Linked DNA regions of Diceros bicornis minor. The protein of the gene in region 1 interacts with the protein of each later gene in a pairwise test. Links are inferred from orthologs where the notes say so. Each region holds a gene or a part of one and is shown on either strand. Other genes may lie near its edges.

What was found.
Region 2: the proteins of AQP1 (region 1) and RGS17 interact in binary tests that used the Homo sapiens proteins (3 or more experiments, as listed by UniProt). The two-hybrid records come from large-scale screens. The link is inferred for Diceros bicornis minor from reciprocal best matches to the Homo sapiens genes AQP1 and RGS17.

The regions. Positions count from the first base shown.
Region 1 is NC_080742.1:55,185,637-55,195,630, forward strand, and holds the start of AQP1 (aquaporin-1), read left to right. Parts: upstream 1-6,095; 5' UTR 6,096-6,136; coding exon 6,137-6,526; intron 6,527-9,994. UniProt on the Homo sapiens protein: Forms a water channel that facilitates the transport of water across cell membranes, playing a crucial role in water homeostasis in various tissues.
Region 2 is NC_080778.1:15,790,674-15,799,879, reverse strand, and holds the start of RGS17 (regulator of G-protein signaling 17), read right to left. Parts: upstream 4,419-9,206; 5' UTR 4,318-4,418; intron 1-4,317. UniProt on the Homo sapiens protein: Regulates G protein-coupled receptor signaling cascades, including signaling via muscarinic acetylcholine receptor CHRM2 and dopamine receptor DRD2.

The DNA.
Region 1 (9,994 bases):
TGTCAAGCAGAGAAGGGAGGACGAGGAGGCTGGGTGTGGCTGGCAGACCAGGCTGGGCAGGAACCAGGAGACCCAGACTCTAGTCCTGGCTTCACTCTGACGCACCAAAGGACCCCGGCATGTCACCTCGCCTCCCTGAGCCTCAGTTTCCCCATGTGCAAAATGAGGGCATCAGATCCAATGCTATCTGACTCCGTTCTCCCAACCTTGATGCTTTGTGACCTAATAAGGCAAAGACAGGAGATTTCTGAGGGCCCAGGGCAGGAGGAGGTAGGGGGCTTGGAGGCTAGAGAGGGAAGCTGCAGTGGCAGCCAGGCCAGGGGACAGGGGAAGTGCTGTGTGTGTGCCCAGTGTGAGGAAATGCTCCAAAACCACCACACATATGATGAGGACTTCCCTTCCGGGGACCCACAGCCAGAGCCCCCTGTCCTGCCTGTCCCCCCACCACTGCCCCAAGGGTGTGGCTGGCAGCCCAGCACAATGCCACCACCAGCGTTGTCTGGAAGTGAGGGATGCCTCCCCACCTGCAGGGCAGGGCTGGGGAAAAGGTGACTTCACTCCCTCTTGGAGGACCTCCTCCAGGCCAAGCGGAGTTGGCGGTGGGCATGGGGGCAGCCCCGTGTCCTCACAGTGCCGTCATTCAGGCCCGGGAGCCCAGCCTGACCCTGGAATCTCTGCTCCCATTCCTGGACGTGGTGTGATAAGCTCTCATAGATGCTAGCCAGGCCAGACAACTTTTCCGTCCTTTCTCTCTAGCTCCTTCTCTGTGGCATCAAGTGGGGCTATTGCTGTCGAGTTGGAAAAACATCAAAATAGAAAATCCTGCCTTCCAGAAATGGGTTTGCAATTGCGTCTGTTCCCCCCACCCCCACCCCAAGCAACAATAAGCCTAGATATTGCTCAGGGCGGGCAGCGGTGAGGGTGAGGGCAGCGAGAAGAGAACAGGAGGCAGCCGTTCAGAAAATTACTAAATTGTTCCGCCTCTGATGAATCACTGGTCGCCCGCTAAATCCGGTTTTGATTTAAGGGAGATTGTGTGAGGCCTAAATTATCTGTTAGACAGAGAGGAATTCACTTGCTTTGAGAGGTGGGAACCGGATGGTCAGAGGGCAGATTCTCCCCCAGCATCCCCCGCCACGCCCAGCCTGGTGCTCAGCTCCGCTGGGGGAGCGGAGGACAGGGAAGGAGAAGACCTGGGCCCTGCCCTCGGGCCCAGCCTCACCCCACGGGGCCGTGAGGGGACAGTCCGGGGTCGGGGGTCGGGCACAACCTTCACTGTGGGTGCTGCTGTGGAGGCGGGGGTCAGGGGCAGCTGTGCCTCTAGGAAGGAGGAGGTAGGATGTGAGGAGGAAGAGTGTGCATGCAGACACCCAGGGGCAGAGAGCCTGTGGCACGGGAACCGGACCCTTGCCTGGGGTTGGGAAGGGCTGGTGGCAAGTGCCATACCAGGTGGCAAGTGGAGAGCCTTGAGGACCAGGCCAAGGAGTTTGAGGGGACATCCTGTCTCCTTTTTGGTCTTTGTGCCCTGGGCCTGGGTCCCTCCTCTGCTCCACCTCAGAGGGGATTGGCCATGCCTCCCAGGAAGGATGACTTCATGCTAGAGCCAAATGCCCTGTGTGGGGCTGGGGGAGATAGGCTGTGTCTGAGCAGCCAAGGGCCAGGGGCAGCAGGTCCTAGATCAAGGTCGCAGGCATTCTCCGGGCAGGGCGTTCTCTGATTTTCACCACCCCGCTCCAGGACTCTCTTCCTATCCTCCATGAGTGCCCTCTGCCTCCATTCTGGAAAGCCTGAGCCATTCTGGAAAATTCATCCAGGCTGCTGGTGAGCCGATGGTGCCTGGATGGTCGCGGCCAGCCTGTTATTTGAGTCCCTTCCCACCCCAAGCTCCACCCTCTGGGTGGGCCTCCTGGAGGGAATGAAATCATTGTTTCCCACAACCCAGCCTGCGGGTGAGAAATCCCTGCCTGGCCCAGAAGGCAGGGTCCATGCCCCTCAGCTCCTCTGCTCTGTGCTCCACAGAAGCTTCTGGCTAAGAGAGTGACAGCCGTGGCCACACTCATGGGCGTCTTCTCCCCACGCAGCCCGAGGTCCGGACGCTTGGCCGACACCTGAGCCTCTGTGCACCCACCTCTGGAAAAGCCTGAGACTCTCCCCCTGGATTCCAATGGGGACGGAGCCCAGACTGTCCTGGGAACAGCCAGCTCTGACTGGAATTCGGGTCTCACTGGGCACATCAGGAATAAGGCACATCTGGAAAAGCGTTTGCTGAGGCTGTTGCTCCAGCAGGGCCAGACAGTGACCAGGCCTGAGTGGCCTCAAGCTCCGCCCAGGCTCAGGAGCTGGGTGGGGGGCAGTCCTCCTTATTTAGCCTGGCTCAGCCCTGTGGGCTCTGGAGGCTGGGCCCATGCCACTGTCCGTGGGAGGGACACGGAGCACGCGGAGTCAGGCCACGCTGGAGGAGGAGCTGGGGTGGAGGCAGCATCCTGCCTCAGAGCCCAAACTCCCAGACTAGGGGGGCTGCAGGGGTGACTCTCGCCTCTCCCGGCTGCTCTATGTGCCCAGTCTTAGCCTGATGCTTCCTTCCCCAACCCTCCACCCCTCGCCCATCCTAGCGCCTCTGGGGCCCGGACCTCTCAGCCTTTGTACTTGTTCCTGAGCAAGCAGAACTGGGGTTTCCCTATGGTAACTGGGCCGGTCAGGGGCCCTTCCTGACAGGCAGGCAGAGAACCAGACTTGGGCTCTGGGAATTAGGTTCTAATCCCAGCTCTGCTTTTCCTTGGCAAATCTCTTACCATCCGAGCCTCCCAGGGTTGTGGGGAAGATGGGCCCTCGGCTAGATGCTGTTTCCTTCCTTCCTCCACTGGTCGGTCTGGATGTGTGGCAGACCAGAGAGAAGGAGATGGAAGGGTTTGGGGCCTTCCTGGGTCTGGGGCTCCAGTGGAGATCTTCTCCCTTCCCATGGAAATGGTCAGGTTATGGCCACAGAGGCCCCTTTGCATTATGGGAGGTGGTGGGTGACTGAGGTGGGCATTATTCTGGAGATGCTTGTGTTCTGATGGCGCCTCCTGGTGACAGCAATGCCGTCATCCAAAGGAATGGAGTTATAATGGTGGCATATGAGGCAGAGGCCATGCTGGTGTGAAGGACGGGGTGGGAGATGCAGGGGGTGGCAGGGGTATTGCCCTGAGGATCCTCCTATCACCCGAAGATTGGCGGGTGCCTAATTTGCCTGGGCAAAAGTGCTTTGCTTACTCTGTGACGCCTGGGTCCCCATCTCCTGCCCTGCTCCAAAGGACACAGGCCTCTCCAAGTACATACACACACACGCACACACACACACACGTGCCCTCTGCAGTCATATACTCTGTCTTCCAGAGTGCCCACACAGGGCCTGCAGGCTCACGTGCTAGAACACAGGCTTCAGGAGGACAATGAGAGGGCCGTCTGGTTCATAGCTGTCTCCCCATTGCCCGGAACGGTGTTTGGCATGTGCCAAGTAAACATTTGTTGGATAAATTTGTACGTCCCAGGGGAATCTCCCCCTCATGCCTGGTAGCACATTCTGTGTTCTCAGCTGCACGGATCCTGACCTGGCCCCGGACACTGTCACGGAACCTGGAGCACACACAGGCCCATACAGGCCCCTCTTCTGTGGTATTGAACCCCCACACCAACCTGCACCCAGTGGCCCCTGCGGGCCTGGTGCCGGCTCTCCCATGCCGCCCTCCTCAAGCCCTCGTGGCTGGGTCCCAGTACCTGCCAGAGTCAGAACTTGACCCTGCACCAAGCAGAGGGCAGGGACAGGTGTGGGCTCTGTTAGGACCTAGAATCTGAGGGGGAAGAAGGAGGATGGCGTGGATGTCTCTCAGTGGACATGGAGCCTGTGGCCTGAAGGGAAACGGTCCTGTCTGGACTGAGGGGAAAAAGGGCTGTCCTCTGAAGCCTGGGCGTGAGGGAACCCCAGCCCTGTGGAAGGAGCTCTGGTCGGAGGTCCCAGAACTGACAGAGAACCCCTCACTGTGGGGCACTGTTGCCACAAGTCCACAGGGCCAGGGGCCAGGGGCCAGGGGCCAGGGCACGAGGAAGCCTCCCGGGGCGTGGAGAGCTGAGCCAGGCCCGCCCAGAGTGGAGGATGTGGAAGAGGTTCCTGGAAGTGGCCCAGTGGGGCTGGCTCCCTCTCTGGATGGTTAATAAGGCACCAATTACCTCTGGCCACCGGGGTTCTCTGAGCAGGCAGGGCCCACCAGCCACCACGCAGACTCCCTGCTCATGTCCACTCCATCCTATACTTACAGATATTTAGGTGGACACAGCTACCCTCCATACTCCGTCCCAAGCGAGCCTCCTGCTCTCAGCAAGCACCAGGCTGATGCCTGGGCGGGTTCATGGCCGGCGCCAGGGTGGCCCTGGTGTGCACTGCAGCTGGCCAGTAGGGTGGCCAGTGGGGGCTGGTGTCATCTTCTGCAGATGGCCCTTGGACAGGAGGCACAAGATCCACGTGCTCATCCTTGCCCTACCCCTGGCATATGCAGAACTCACAGAAGTCCTTCCTCTCACTGGGCTTCAGTTTTTCACCTATAAAATGGGGAGAAGCCAGCACTCACATGTAGGACTGTGGTGGGGCAGGCAGGAGGTGGGAGGAGAGGGCCTCGGAGGCCACTCCCTCCAGGGCCCCGCCTGTCCAGGGCCCTGCCCGCTCCCCTTCACACACTACCCAGCAGCAGGCCGGTGGACTGGGCCTGGGGCTCCTGACGGGACTCCTGGCTCAGGAGTCCAGTTTCTTGCTCAGTTTGTTGGCCACCGCTGGACCTCTGGCTTGGGGAGGCACAGGCACAGGCTGGACTGCAGGGGTCTGCAGAGCAGCCTCTTCCCCTTCCCCCTGCAGGGGTGGGGGGTGGGGGCTGGGAGCTTGTCTGGTCCCTCCCCCTCACCTGCCTGCCCCTCCCTCATCTTTCCCTTTTCCCTGCCTGCCTCTGGGTCCAGTCGTGTCTCCCCTCTTTCCAGTTTGTCTCCTCTCCCTCTGTGCTCCTTCTGTCTCTCTCTCAGCCCTGGCCTGTCTCACTGCCTCTGCCTGGGGATCATCTCTTTCACTTCCATTTTTGTGATGGTTCCGCGTCCCTATAACTCTGCCCTTCATTCTCTGTCTGTCTGTCTGTCTCCTCTCCTCTTCACTGCTCTGTTGGGGCCTCTCCCTTTCTCCCTTGCTCCTTTCTTCTCTCCTGGGCCTTCCAGTCTCCAGGTCAGGCTGCCGTTCCTTCAGTCTCCCCAGAGGTCTGCCGGCTGGACAGCCTTTGAGAGGAAAGTCCTAAACTGCCCTCACCTTCCCCACCTGCCCCCAAAACACTAGTTCAAACTTCTTCCTAGAAACTTGAGGGCTCCCGCAGTGGGGGCTTCCCACACCCTTTCCTATCTCAGGCCTGCCATTGAGAGGGTGGGCCACAGACAAGCTCTCTGCACATTCTGATGCCTCCGTGCCCCCATCAACTGAGGCCTGGCTGGTGGGGCTGGAGGCGTGGGGACATCCCTAAAGTGACATCCAGTGGCCAGGCCTGACCCGGAGTGTGGGAGGCCCAGCCTGCCCCTTTGGACCCCTGGGCCCATGGACTGCAGTCTAAGGCCACTCTGAGGTAGGATGGGGATGCCAGGGCAGCAGGGTCACGGTGCCCGCCTCCAGGGAGGGCAACGTCCACCCGCTGAGTCCAACCCGCCCACCTTGCCACATTTGGAGTGCCTGGCTCTGCCCTTGGGCACCCCCTGAGCTTTGCACACCTGGATTCCTCTGGCCCCCTGAGTGGGGCCAACTTGCAAGAATTTCCCAAAGCCTATTACAGCAGTGGCTGCCTCCTGCCTGCCTCCTCGGGCAGGGCAGGGCTGAGGGCGGAGGGAGAGAGGGAGGGAGGGGGGAGAGGAGGAAAGGAAAAAAAGTTGGCAGGCCGACAGCAGAGCTGTGTCTGCATCCATCGCTGAGAGGAGGCCTGTGCGGTGCGGGGCGGGCCAGGAGCAAGGAGAGGCCTTCCTCCCTTTGTGCCCCCCCCTTCCCCCGGGGCCCTATAAATAGGCCCAGCCTGGGCTGTGGCTCAGCTCTCGGAGGGAGTCGGGCACCAGGCAGCAGTCTCCAGCCAAGACCCCTGCCAGCATGGCCAGCGAGTTCAAGACGAAGCTCTTTTGGAGGGCGGTGGTGGCCGAGTTCCTGGCCATGACCCTCTTCATCTTCATCAGCATTGGTTCCGCCCTGGGCTTCCAATACCCGGTGAAGAACAACCAGACATCAGGTGCAGCCCAGGACAACGTGAAGGTGTCGCTGGCCTTCGGGCTGAGCATCGCCACGCTGGCCCAGAGCGTGGGCCACATCAGCGGCGCCCACCTCAACCCGGCCGTCACGCTGGGGCTGCTGCTCAGCTGCCAGATCAGCATCCTCCGGGCCCTCATGTACATCATCGCCCAGTGTGTGGGCGCCATCGTCGCCACTGCCATTCTCTCGGGTGTCACCTCCTCCCTGCCCGACAACTCGCTTGGCCGCAATGAGGTGAGTGGGCTGGCCTCAGGCTCAGGGGCGTCTAGAATGGTGCTGAGACAGCACTGGTCTCATCCTCTGCCCATTGTGCAGATGGGGACACCGAGGAACAGAGAGAACAGAAGTTGCTGGAGGTCTTGCAGAGTTGGGGCTGGAACTCAGCTCCGCCTGCAGCCCAGCGCCTGTTTTTTGCCAGGACTGAGACCCAGAGAGGAACAGTCTTGCCGGTATCCCCTGTGGGCATCTATTGTGGGAAATAAGCTCTGGAGGCCGCTGAAGTTTGGGCCAGCAGTTCATCACCCCTCGACTGTAGTTTCTTGGCTCCCTGCAGCCCTGCCTGTGCAGGCAGCTCCCTCTGCCTGCAGCCCGGCCACTGGGGAAACTCTGCCCTCAGTCCCCACTCCCCCTGAACCAGATGCCTGGCATGTCTGCAGCCAGGTCTGCAAGTGCGTGAGCAGGACTCCTGTGGGGGGACGCACAGGCCTCCAGGCAGCCTCCACATTCACACAGGTCCCCAGATAAACTGCTTTCAAGGAAAAAGCCCCTCTCGCTCCTCTGTCCCCCAGGAATCAGACAAAGATGGAGGCGGTGGGGGAAACACTTGCTGGCTGTTTGCAGGTGGTTTTCCTGGATTACAGTACGGGGTGGGGCCAGCGCCAGGACATCCCGCCTCCTGTCTGGGCTCTACTCTCTGTGCCCGGCACTGAGAGGTGTGGTGCGCGTGTGTGTGTGTGAACGAGTGTATGCACGTGGATGCCGGTGTGGTTTTCCAAGCTTGTGTAAGCTGTGTGCTCCCCTGTGTGTCTGTTTCTGGAAGTGTGTCTGTGAGCATGTTAGTGCTGGTGTGTGAGTGAGTGTGGGGGTGAGCGTGTACCTGCGTGTGCTCACTGCTCCTGGCTAGAATGGGGCTGGGGGCACTCATGATAAGCAGATGTTGGCAACTGGGTGGCAGCTGCTGAAAAGAATTCCTCCCGGGCTGCTTAGCACAGCTAATTGGCTGTTGGCGGTGGTTGCCTGCTGTCACTTTCCAGCCCCTCAGCCAAGTGCAAACTTAGACCAGGCTTGGGCCACAGCAGGGGGAAATTTGGCCCAAGAGGCTGAGTAAGGTTTGAAGGATGTATCTGAGCGTGGGCCCTGAGGGGAGGGAGAGAGGCAAAGGAGCAGAGAGGAGGAATCAGACCTAGAGAAAGGAGGCTGGCAGGGCCCCCTGTAGGGCAGGTGGGTGTGGCGACAGAAAGGGAGCTGGCTAAGGGCTCGGTGGGTGATTATAGCAACTGTCCTCTTGCTTCCCACCCAAAGTTCAGATCCTGGGGCTGCAGCTGGGGAGGCTCGGTAAAGTCTGGTGCAGAGGGCAGCTGGCACGGCCCTGCCACAGGGGGATTAGCACTTCTTGTGTCACAGTGACCTCTCACCCAGCCCCTTCATGGAGCCAACCGATGCCCGGCCCCAGATTGAAGATTAGCCTGTAGGCTGGAGTTTAGACTTTAGTTCAGGAAGATGTGGCCAGGGTGGGTGTAAGGGATGGTGCTCTGGCAGGCCACATCCCTCCAGGCCTCAGTGTCCAGTGGGGGCAGAGCCAGGTGACCCCAGGGAGTGCCCGCAGAGTAGGGTCAGGTTCACATTTGGGCTCTGCTGGGCATAATGGGGATGGGGAAGGTGTCCTCACAGGGGAGGGATGGAGTCTCCCCCGGCCTTCTGGCCGCCTGTTGACCCTCCCTCTCAAGGGACAGGCAGGCAGGGCATCTGCTGCAGACTTAGCAGTCTCTAACATGGGCATCCAGGCAGACGCAGGAGGGCAGGCACTTCTGGGCCATTTTGATCTGGCCATGCCTGCTCCAGTGTCTCTTCCCCTCTCTGGCCTCCATTTTCCAGAGTCACCCCAATACCTGGGCTGAGTGGGGTTGCAGATGGGGGAGAAAAAGGGGCAGCCTAGTGCGGGGCCAGCCCTGGGCCAGGAGGCAGGCACACTGGGTTCAGGTCCCATCTACTACTTACTTGTTGAGTTTCCTGGAGCTGAGGACCTTGAGGCTCCAAGAGGAGACCTAGTGTCCTAGTGTCCTGGTACGGGCCACGCCCGTACCACCGGCAAGCTCTTTGGGGATGTGTGTTTATTACCCTTCCTGGGAGGGTTTGGCTAAGAGGAGCCAAGAGGGGCCATGCTGAGCATGAGGGCACTGAGTGCTGTGGCGGGGGCCCAGGCACTGCCCTGACCACACGATGGAAGTTTGGGGTCCAGAAGCAAAAGTCCTGGGCCTAGAGACAGAGAAAGTGACCCCCAAGGGCTCCTGTCAGACACTGGACCTGGGATCCGAAGGGACTGGGGGGTGGCCTCAGGGCTTCAAGAGGGGCAGAGTCCAGTCTACCCAGCAGGTGACACACTGTTTCCTCCAGGCCCTGTGGAGGGTCCTGCAGCCCCTTGGGCCCTGGACCCCACCTTGACCCAAACTTGGGTGGAGCTAGTCGTTGGCATGGAGATTTGCAGGGAAAATAGGGAAAGAAGTGGCAGGAAGTGGTTGGGGTGAGTCAGGGGGTGTCCCCCAGGGACATGATGGGGACAACTTTCTGCTCACTGAGTCAGGGCTCAGGATACGCCCTGGAGAGACCACGGGCCTCCATCCAGCCTGCAGGATTCCTGGCTAGTTCTAAGAGCTAAACCCCAATTTCAGCCGAGGGTGAGAGGCAGGGGTTGGTGCCCCAGCCTGCCCTGCCCTAGCTCAGCCACAATACCCTGTGTGACTTGATGCGTGAGCTCCCGGTGTGGCCCTAGTTCCCATCTGTGAAATAGGGACATAGCAGGTTGCACTTGGGCTCTGCGAAATGGAAGATGCTCACTCATGAACCTGGGAGTCCTGCCCATTTACCTGCTCTTTTTACTCTTCCCTTCTGTGGCTTGCTAGCCATGCTCCCTGCAAACACGACCTGGGGCTGCTGTGGGCTGAATGAGGGGCTGAATCACCTGGCTCCCTGCCCTGGGGAAGCCCACAATCCCTGGCGAGATAAGCCCCATGCACAGCTGCCCAGACGAGATAAGCCCCATGCATAGCTGCCCTGTGATATACTGCAGAAGCCATGTGTGATAACAGGTGTCAGGGAGGCCAGGGAGCTTCTGACCTTAAGGGGTGGGGAGGACCAGGAAGGCTTCAGGGCGGAGGTGCCACATGAGCCTGAATGTGGAGACCCTGCTAGGGAAGGGGCTTTCAGTAGAGGAAGTGCATGAACACAGGCAAGGGGGCAGTGGGAGCTCAAGGCCTGGGAGTCATGGGTTGCAGCTGGATTGGGGGTCATGGTGGGAGGCTGGGGCTCCAGAGGGTGGTGAAGCTCGGGACTCAGGCCAGTGTCTGACTGCATCCTAGAGGGAACTGGATTCTTAGCCATCCTGGAGCCTGTGATTTCAGCCCCTTAGCGGGCTCAAGCAGAGGGCAAGCCTCCCCTCTTTGGGGGTCTTCTCTTAGCCCTGCTTATTCTGGGCCTGACTGCCTG
Region 2 (9,206 bases), on another chromosome or scaffold:
CTTTGTTTGCTTTTGCCTGTTTTATAAAACTAACATTAGCATTCAAATAAATAAGAAAAATGTACTAGAATATCAATGGAAAATGGGCAAAAGACTTGAACAAGCCATCCTCAAAGACAAAAAAAAAAAATGGCTTATAATCATATTAAAAAAGGAATCAGCATTATTAGTAACCAAAGAAATAAAAGTTTCAAAAACATCATTTTCAGCTATCAAGTTAGCAAAGATTTTTCAAAAGATGATATTATGTTGGTGAGAAGTAAATGTTCTAAGCCTCAAGCCTAAAGGAAAAAATGCCATTCAGATATGCAGAAAAAACCTAGGCATAAGGAGGTACAGCGGTTAAAACAGTAAAATATTGGAAATAACATAAAAATCCAAAAATAAAAGAATGGCTAAATAAATGAAGACATCCATAAGATGAATTCTTTTGCAGTCACTAAATTGTATTAAAAAATACCAATTTTAATTTCTTGGGAAACATCAACAAAGTAACGTTAAATTTTTAAAAAGCAAGTATGAAGTTCTACTACTTTAAATTGGTCCATTTAAAAATTCTTTAAAAAATGGTCCATTTATGCATAGGAAATGAACCGGCGGGAAACTGACCAGTATTTTCAATAGCGGTTCTTTAGGCATTGGGATAATTATGAGTACTCAGTATATGCTAGGCACGTGTTCAGCACTTTATATACAGTGAATTATATTCATGCTTGCAAACATCTTAGAAGGTGGGTCTTTATCCCTGTTGTATACCAGAGGAAACTGAGGCTCAGAGCAGGTAACTAACTTGACCATGGTGACAAAGCTATTAAATGAAGGAGCCAAGACACAAGTTAACATCAGCTGCCCCCAAAGCTCATGTTCATCATGTCCATGAGGGCCCACAGGTAATCTAAATGTTCTGTTTTATTCATTTTTTTCTGCATTCTAGGGGACCTAAAAATAAGCATATATTGCTTTTATAATCTGGAAACAAATCATAATATAAATGTTATAGTAAAAACATGCATATTCGCAAAGTGACAGTTCTAAAAATTGCTTCCTTCAAAGATGCAGGACCATGAATGTGATCTTTAGATCTTAGACGAGTGTATTGTAATGAGCATGAGCGCTCTTTTAAAAATGTAATCCCAAATCTCGGAAGACTTTTGTGAGTCCCGTCAATTCTGCAATATTTTTTCATTCAAGAAATACTTATTTAACATCCGCCTTTTGCCAGATATTGTGCTAGGTGTTTGCACAATAGCAGGAATAACAGTCTAAATGACTTTCTTTGGATATTGGGAAAGTCTTTAGGGGATAAGGGAAGACAGGACGAGATAGGGAAGGTGAGAGTATCCATCAATCTACATTGAGTCCTGGCTACCTACATCTAAGGATTATTTTATTTTTTTAAGCTTTCCATAAAAACTTACAATATTTTTGAGGATCCAGAACACCTTCCTGGAAATGTCATGCAATTTTAAGCCTCTACAATGCATTTATGCTTATACGCTAACTGTAGTAATCAGATGAAATAAAATGCTTTTTAACATCACACAGCGTTACTGTCATCCACTGAGTGTACAGTGGTCCTTGCATTTGCCCTTCTATGCAGTGCTGTATCTTCATTGTTAAGTAAGCAGAGCTGGATATTCAGAAAAAAGAATCTCAGCAGAAATGCAACTGGATGGATTCCTATCCCTCTTGGTTCCACATCTCATCGTTCATGCCCGTCTTTCATTTTTCAGAAAAGCCCATGTCTTTCAGCAAATGGACTTTTAATATGAAGGCCATTATCTCTAGAACACAGGTAAACGCTTTCTTACTTTTTAGTCTATGAGTCAACCAGAATTTTTATCAATTTAGATTTAGATTTGGCTGTTATAATAAGGTCAAATGGGTAAGAATGTGTATATTTCTCCTTTTCTACAAAGCCCCTGGCCCTCATAGTAGGAAATATTAAGAAATGTTTTATTATTATTATTATTATTATTATTATGCAAAAGTGTAAGAAGTCCATAGGAATGATAATGACTTAGACTTTCAACATGATGAGTTCAAATAAATTAGGACCCTGTAGGAAGATCCCTAAAAGCAAAGAGATAGCTATTTGAGAAGGAAAAGCTGGATTCCTTAGAATTGGACAGCAAAGTAACTCCTTGTTAATTCCCTTCTATGGGAATTAAACACCAAGGAGTAATTGAGGAACCAGAGAAAAAAGGGTAGAAATCGGCACAGACACCTTATGTTATTTGCTCTGTAAATTAGGTGGTTTTCTTAACCTCTCAGACTATAAATTCAGGACAAAGGATGAGTGCCCAGGGCTCTGAGATCAGATGTCACTGTCATGGAGATTCATCTTATTTAATGTGATACCATCCAATCCTTTTGTAATAATAAACACTTGTTTTCTCATCTCCAAAAACTGTTAATAAACTACTTTCTCATGGTTTCTCTAAATATAGTTTTTAAGATTTTTAAAATAGTGAATAAATCTACTCTTCCATGAGTGTGTTAATTACTGTTTTAGTTCATGCTAACAGAAGAAGCAGCTTAATAATAGTGACTTAACTGGAGGTGATCAAAATGCTCATTCATTTGAATTAATGAGTCCGAATCACCTTTTCATTAGATATTAGTGCTATAATGTATATTTCACTGATACCTGCTATTACTACAAAAGACTTTAGAAACAAATACAATTGACTTAAAGTGTCACAGTTTTCAAAATTATTTAATACACATAGTGTCTAGCAGCTATGAAACCAGGAGAAAAACATTATTTTCCATTACAAGGGTAAAAACTGTTTCTCCTTTCTCCAATTAAATGATTTTCAGAAGGGTTCATCACCCGGAAAAACAGTATGTATGAAATCCGGAAATGCAGATGATAGATATCCAGTCTTATAAATGCTTATTATAAACGGGAACCAAACTCTAAGATTTCTCTCTATTACTTGTGATAGCCATCCCATGATGGAAGTAATCTCGCTGTAAAACAACTGAAAAAAGAAAAAGAAACTATGGGAAGATTGCAAAGTTCTCTAGACAAACCTTCCAGTGACTCGCTTAAAGAAGGAAGCATTTATCAAAGGGTCAGAGAGGTTAGGAAAACTATGCCAGGAGCCAGGGTCAGTCTTGCCAGAGCGACTGAGATTGTCCCAGGTGAGCCGGTGTCCTGGGCTCTGGATGGAGGCGGAGGGCGCAGGGCGGGTCCCGCACGGCGCGCATCCTTTTGGCCAGGAGACCCCTGCTCTGTCCCCGGGAGCCCGGCGATTCCCGAGGCTGGCGCGGGCTGCCCGGGACGCACTGCCAGCAGCCTCCAGCTCGCGAGGAGCATCTCCCCATCCGCGGCTTCCGAGGCCAGCTCTGTCCCTCCGCCATCCTGAAGTCCTCCGACATTTTTCACCGAGACAGGAAGGTAGGGAGAAGAGGAAACGGCCGAGCGTCTGCACCCAGCCTCTGCCGCAGCACATGAGGAGGAGAGGAGGAGGGAGGCTATTAAACTGTGATTCTATCGATAATAAAAAGAATCATCACCCACAGCAGGGGAGTCTCGGATACACCCACCTGGGCAGCGGCTAGGGAATTGGTGGGCGTTCCTCCTCCTCGCCCCCTCGGTGGCTGTGAAATCTACCCCAAGCCAAGCACACAAGAACTCCCTTTCCTTCGACTAAGGAGAGGGCAAAGAACAAAAGAGACCCCCACCCCCTACACACACACACACACCTCAGACATTTCACCGATGCTCAAGGTATGCATTTCTGCAATCCCTTTGGCTTACACCTTCCCCACCTGAATAGTGCGTTTTCCCAAAGGTAAAGAAAGAAAAAATACCATGCCAAGGTGATCGGTCGACTGGACACTGTCAATTCACATTCGGTTTTCCAACAAACCCCCACAAAAATCCCGCAGGACCTCGCGCCCCCGCGGGGTCTCCGCCGCCCTGGGCCCTCTGCCGGTTCCCCGAAGGCGCCCAGCTCTCCGCGGGGGACCCGACCGAGGGCTCCCCGGGCGGGCAGGACACTCGCCCAGCCCGTCCGCCGCAGCTGGAGGGCGGCGAGCGGACCGCGCCGAGGCAGCAACGCCGGACGCAACTTCCCAAACCCGCGGCGCGGCCCCCGCTCGCACCCGCGGCGCGGCAGCAGCGCCGAGCCCCCCGCGCCCGCAGCCTCCCCCGCCAGGGCGCTGGCAGTTGCACTCTCCGCCCCCTCTTTCCTTCACTTCCCCCCCCCCCCAACCACCACCTTTAAAAAATTCATCCCTCGGTGCAAAGCAGACATTTTGATGTCATTTACTTAGCCCCGCTCGGGTTCGGAGCCAGCATCTTACCCAGCCGCCTGGAGGTGTGGGCAGCGCACCGATGGGTCCGGGGGCGCGAGGCTGGGCTGCTCGGTCCTCTAGCGGAGCCGGTTTGCTGCCATCCGCCCAACTTCAGCACCCAGCGGGCGAGGAGAGAGGGAGAGAGGCGAGGATGGAGGGGAGGGGAGAGGGGGCGGAGGGAGGGGTGGGCGGGGAGGGAGCTGGAGCCGCTCGGCAGCGCGCATGCGCCCCGCGGGCGGGCGCAGCCCCTCGCCCGGCGCGGCCGGAGGTGCCGCTTCTTCCCCGGGCGCGCGGCCGCGTGAGTCACCGCCCCGCCCGGCCCCCGCGCGCTGCCCGCGGCTCGGCGCCCGCGGTGCGGAGGGTCTCGGCCGGAGCTCCCGGCGCGGGTGCAGGGCTTCGCGGGAGCCTTGGAGACCTGGGAGCCTTCCTTGATTAGAGAGGCTCTCGCGCCCAGGCTCCAACTTCACGTTCACCCGCAGCCCTCGTCTGTTTCATCCTGTGCTTGAGGAGAGTTGCTTGACACCAGAAGCATGTCTTTAAGGAACAAAACAGCGCCGCAGCAGCGGGGTCCCAGTGGAAGCAGTCCCTGTGTGGGGGTTCAAGAAAGTGTGAAGTTAAGCAAGTTTTGCTTACCCAAGGACTCGACTTTGGGAAGAGTTCTTTAGTTTATTGACGTCCTCACCCGGGAATCTGACCCTTTGCCCTAAGAATTATTTCAGATGCTCTCTGGTCTGGGGCATATGTTCTGTCTCAGGAGTCTGGACCACTAGAACCAGAGTTTTGATTGAGAGAAGCCGATGACAAGGCAGGAGTCGTGAATTATTAACAGAGGTGTTGATGCTTGGGGCCTGGAGCATCCTTCAGGGACAGCTCAGTAGCTATCAGGTCTGATAATTGTTCTAGTCACAAGCGGAGCCCCGCTTGGTAGTGAAGGAGCTTTGGCTACTTAATGCAGCCTGAGCGCTAGATTGCATCTCCGATGATTAGATTGAAGTGTTTGTGAGGGTGAATTAGGGAAGCGGGTGTCTTTCTCTTCAGATGTGACATCTGTGGGAAGAGGAGTGAGTTCCTGGCAGGAATGATTAGGCTTTTTTCTTATACCTATTGCAAACTAATTACTTGTAAGTATATATGATTTCCCATTGTTTGTGTGCTCATGTATTCAAACAGTGCTGTTATTTCAGTCTCCTTTATGGAACGTGCTCTGGCCTCCCACCTCTCCACCTCTACTTGAGTTAAGTGTGTCTCAGAGTTTGCTCCAGGGCCTCCTTCTCGCTACATCATGGCTTTGAAGACTAGTGCTCTTCCAAATGTATTGCCTGGACTGGTGTTGGTCTGCAAATTGTTCCTTATCGGTCTGTAAGGAGAGAGAAGTACAGAAATTGAAAGTAAGATGTAGAAACTTTTATAGCACTTTGACATTGCCTTGACATCCAAGCACATTCATCAGCTGTACTTTCTGTTTTTTGATTTGTAAAGTAATTCATTTTTGTTGGATTTTACAAAAGTATTGGTCCACGACGCGTTGAAAATAAAAAATAGAAGTCCTTCACCAAAAATGATTTGAGGGGCACTGAATTCTATGTAACTCCCAGATTTATATCTTCAGTCCTCACCTCTCACAGAGCTCTTTTATGCCCTCAACTACCTTTACAACTCCATTTGAAGAATGATTATAATAGTTAATATTTATGGAGCAATTACGGTGTGCTGGGTACTGATCTACATGTTTTGCATATGTTTCTTATTTTCTCTACAAGGTAGATACTATTATTATGTTTAACTGACAACTCAGGAGCAGAACTCCAGATACCCGCCCCCTCCAAACCTGTTCCTCTTTAGACTGTTCCACCCGGTTACTCACGTCAAAAATTTAGAAGTCATCCTTGTTTTGTCTCTTCCTTTCACGCCAGCATCCAATTAATTAGCTAGCCATGTTGTCTCCACCTCCAAAATATAGCCCCAATTCCTCCACTTCTCTCCCTCTCCATTGCTATAACGATGGTTCAAACCTCTATCGTCTCTCACCTGAGCTACTACAAAAGCCGCCAGTGGGGTCTCCTCCACAACCCCAAACAACACATTCTCCAAACAACAGCTGAGTGATCTTTTAAAAACGTAACCAGATCATGTCATGCTTCCGCTTAAAACTTTCCAGTGAGTTTTCATTGCACTTTAAATACAACCCCTGATCCTTACCACAGCCTAGAAGGTTCTGTATAATCTTGTCCCAGCCCAGTTCTCTTACGCCATGTTCCCATAGACCATACCTATGTGTGCTATAGCCACATCGGCCTATTTCTGTTACTCTCTTGAGTAAGTCTAGCTTACAGTACTTGCTGTTCTTTCTGTTTGGAATCCTCTGCTCCTAGATCTTTACATAGTAGGCTCCTTCATATCCTACAGGTCTCTGCTCAAGTATCACCTCCTCAGGCTTTATCTAACCACCTGATCTAATTGGCCCCAGGGTTCTTCTCTGTTAGATCTCCTTGCTTTGATTTCTTCCAGATACTTTTCACTATCTGAATCAGCTTGCATTTGTTTACTTGTTTATTATCTCCTCATCCTCCTCTAGAATAAAGGATCTCAAGAGCTTTGCCTGCACTTTTATCTCTGGTGCCCAGAACAAGATTTGGCACGTATTGTTTACTCACTAAGTATTTAGTGAATGAATGCATGATTGAATGAATAAATAACACACTTAAAAAAAGTATTTTATTATTTTTTCTGATGCTTCTTCTTCTTGGATCCTCATTGCTGCCTGTCACAATTTGTTTGTTTCCCAGCAGTACACAGAGAGACAACATTGTTTCCTCTGTCCACCCTGTCAGAGATGGCTCCATGTAATGGCACACATTTAAACTAGACGCCAGAGTCGTGTTCCTAGAACCAACTTGAAAACAAGCATACTCAATAAAAAAATGATCCTTACTTCCATGAGCTTCCCTAAATTGTAATAATGGCTACTTGGGCAATTTTTTGCACCTAGGACAACTTGGCTATTCTGCCAATAATTTACTTGCTAAAGTCAAATGTAACCTCTTGGTGACTTTCTTTCATGCCTATGGTTTGTTGTGTAATCCTTTATGTGTTAGCCAGAATCTTCAGTGATAGTGTTCTAGGAACTGGACGTGTCGCCTATGATCTTAATGTTGAACAAATGGCATTAATGACCTTCACCTCATAGAGTTTGGTCACTTGCAATCTGTGTGTATATCTGGGTCTTAGGAAATATCTGCAACACCAGTGACATCAGATGATGACTAGGTCAATAATTCAATTCAATAAACTTTATTGATCAATAAAATTTATTGATGTCTACTATATGCGGGGAATTATGTCTTCAAGTTTTTTTGCAAAAATTGTAAATGTTATATAAAATTATTATATATGACTCAGAAATGGATTTCAGTTCATTTCAGCCATGGGAATGTCTTCTCTTTACACAGAATTTTGGAGCTCATTGAGCTTATCATCATTAAACAGCTGTGTGGTAACTACAGAAAGCAGCATTTGATCCTGATCATTTCCATACTGTTATGGATGTGTTTTTCAAGTGCAGAGAATCTGGATACAGCAGCAGGATTTTTGGCATAATGACTTCATAGTAAGGCAGACAGGAGATTTGCAGGCAAGATATTTGCAGACAGAAGGTATTGGAAAAGGACAGAGCATAAAAATATTTACAGTACATTTACTCATAATTAGGGGTATTTGTCATCGTTAGGAGACCTGGATTCTACCTCAGTGAGTTTGATACCCTTGGAAGGTTTTTTCAGGAAGAAATTATGTAGCATCTTTACATTTCATTCTCTTTTCCCACATGCTCATTTATTTAAAAGCAACTGTTTTACCTTCGAAAAGCAGAGAGAAAAGGAAGAAATTTGCTTGAATCTAAAAAACCCTGACTGCTCCATCCAGGCATACTTCTCCAGAGTGGAGCACGGAAAGATAGTTAGAATATGACTGCTTAAAATCACTTTTTCTTTACTTTTAGTAAACGGGCTTATCCTGTTTCTTGAACTGGTTTTAATCAAGCCTTAGAGACATGCTCTTCTCAGGGAACTTATTTAGATAGAAAATACTTGTGTTTCTTCATCAATATTTGAAGGAGATGAGAAAAAGAAAACACAAGATAGTCTTTCTCCCAAATATATAAAATGAGGTATAATTAGAGTTTTACATTTTATATGCACTTTAGTTTTTATAAATTATTAGTTATTAATGTTTCCTTAATATTTAACTTATCAGCCTTGAACTCAAAAGACACAATATTATTCTTTCAGAATAGCATTAGTGCATTTATATCTCAATGTAATTGGATGATTCCATGGAAGTAGAAATAAATACCTTTGTATGATTTTTATCATTTATGCCCAATTTTGTATAACTAAGTTCCCACAATGGCTTAACAAGATAGAGTTGGTTTTGAGTCACCCTAAATACTTTATAAAAGTACTCATTAGATGAATCCTGGATATTCACATTCTTTTTGGTTTAACAGATCTACCGTATAATGTTGGACAACATTATATGATAGCAAATATGGAAAAATAGCAAAATGTTCATCTCACCTGGAGAACATGATGACATTCAGTTATTACAGTCAGATTCTTTGTGGATGGAGAAAAAATTCCAGAACTTAATGGTCCATATTATATTATCTTGAGATTTTTGAAGGTTTCTAGATGATAGTAGCTGGATTGTAGAATAGGCTTCTGCTTTGTCAGACCTACCTCCAGGGTCTGAAGGAAGGAAGGGTAGAGAGAGGCAGTGGTTTGATTTCACAGTAGTATCTCACATCTCTGCTATGTTTTGTTTCATGGCAGAGCAAGTTCAGAGACATGTGAGGTTAATACAGATCTTTGTGTATCTGTGTGTGGAGAAGGATAGTTTGC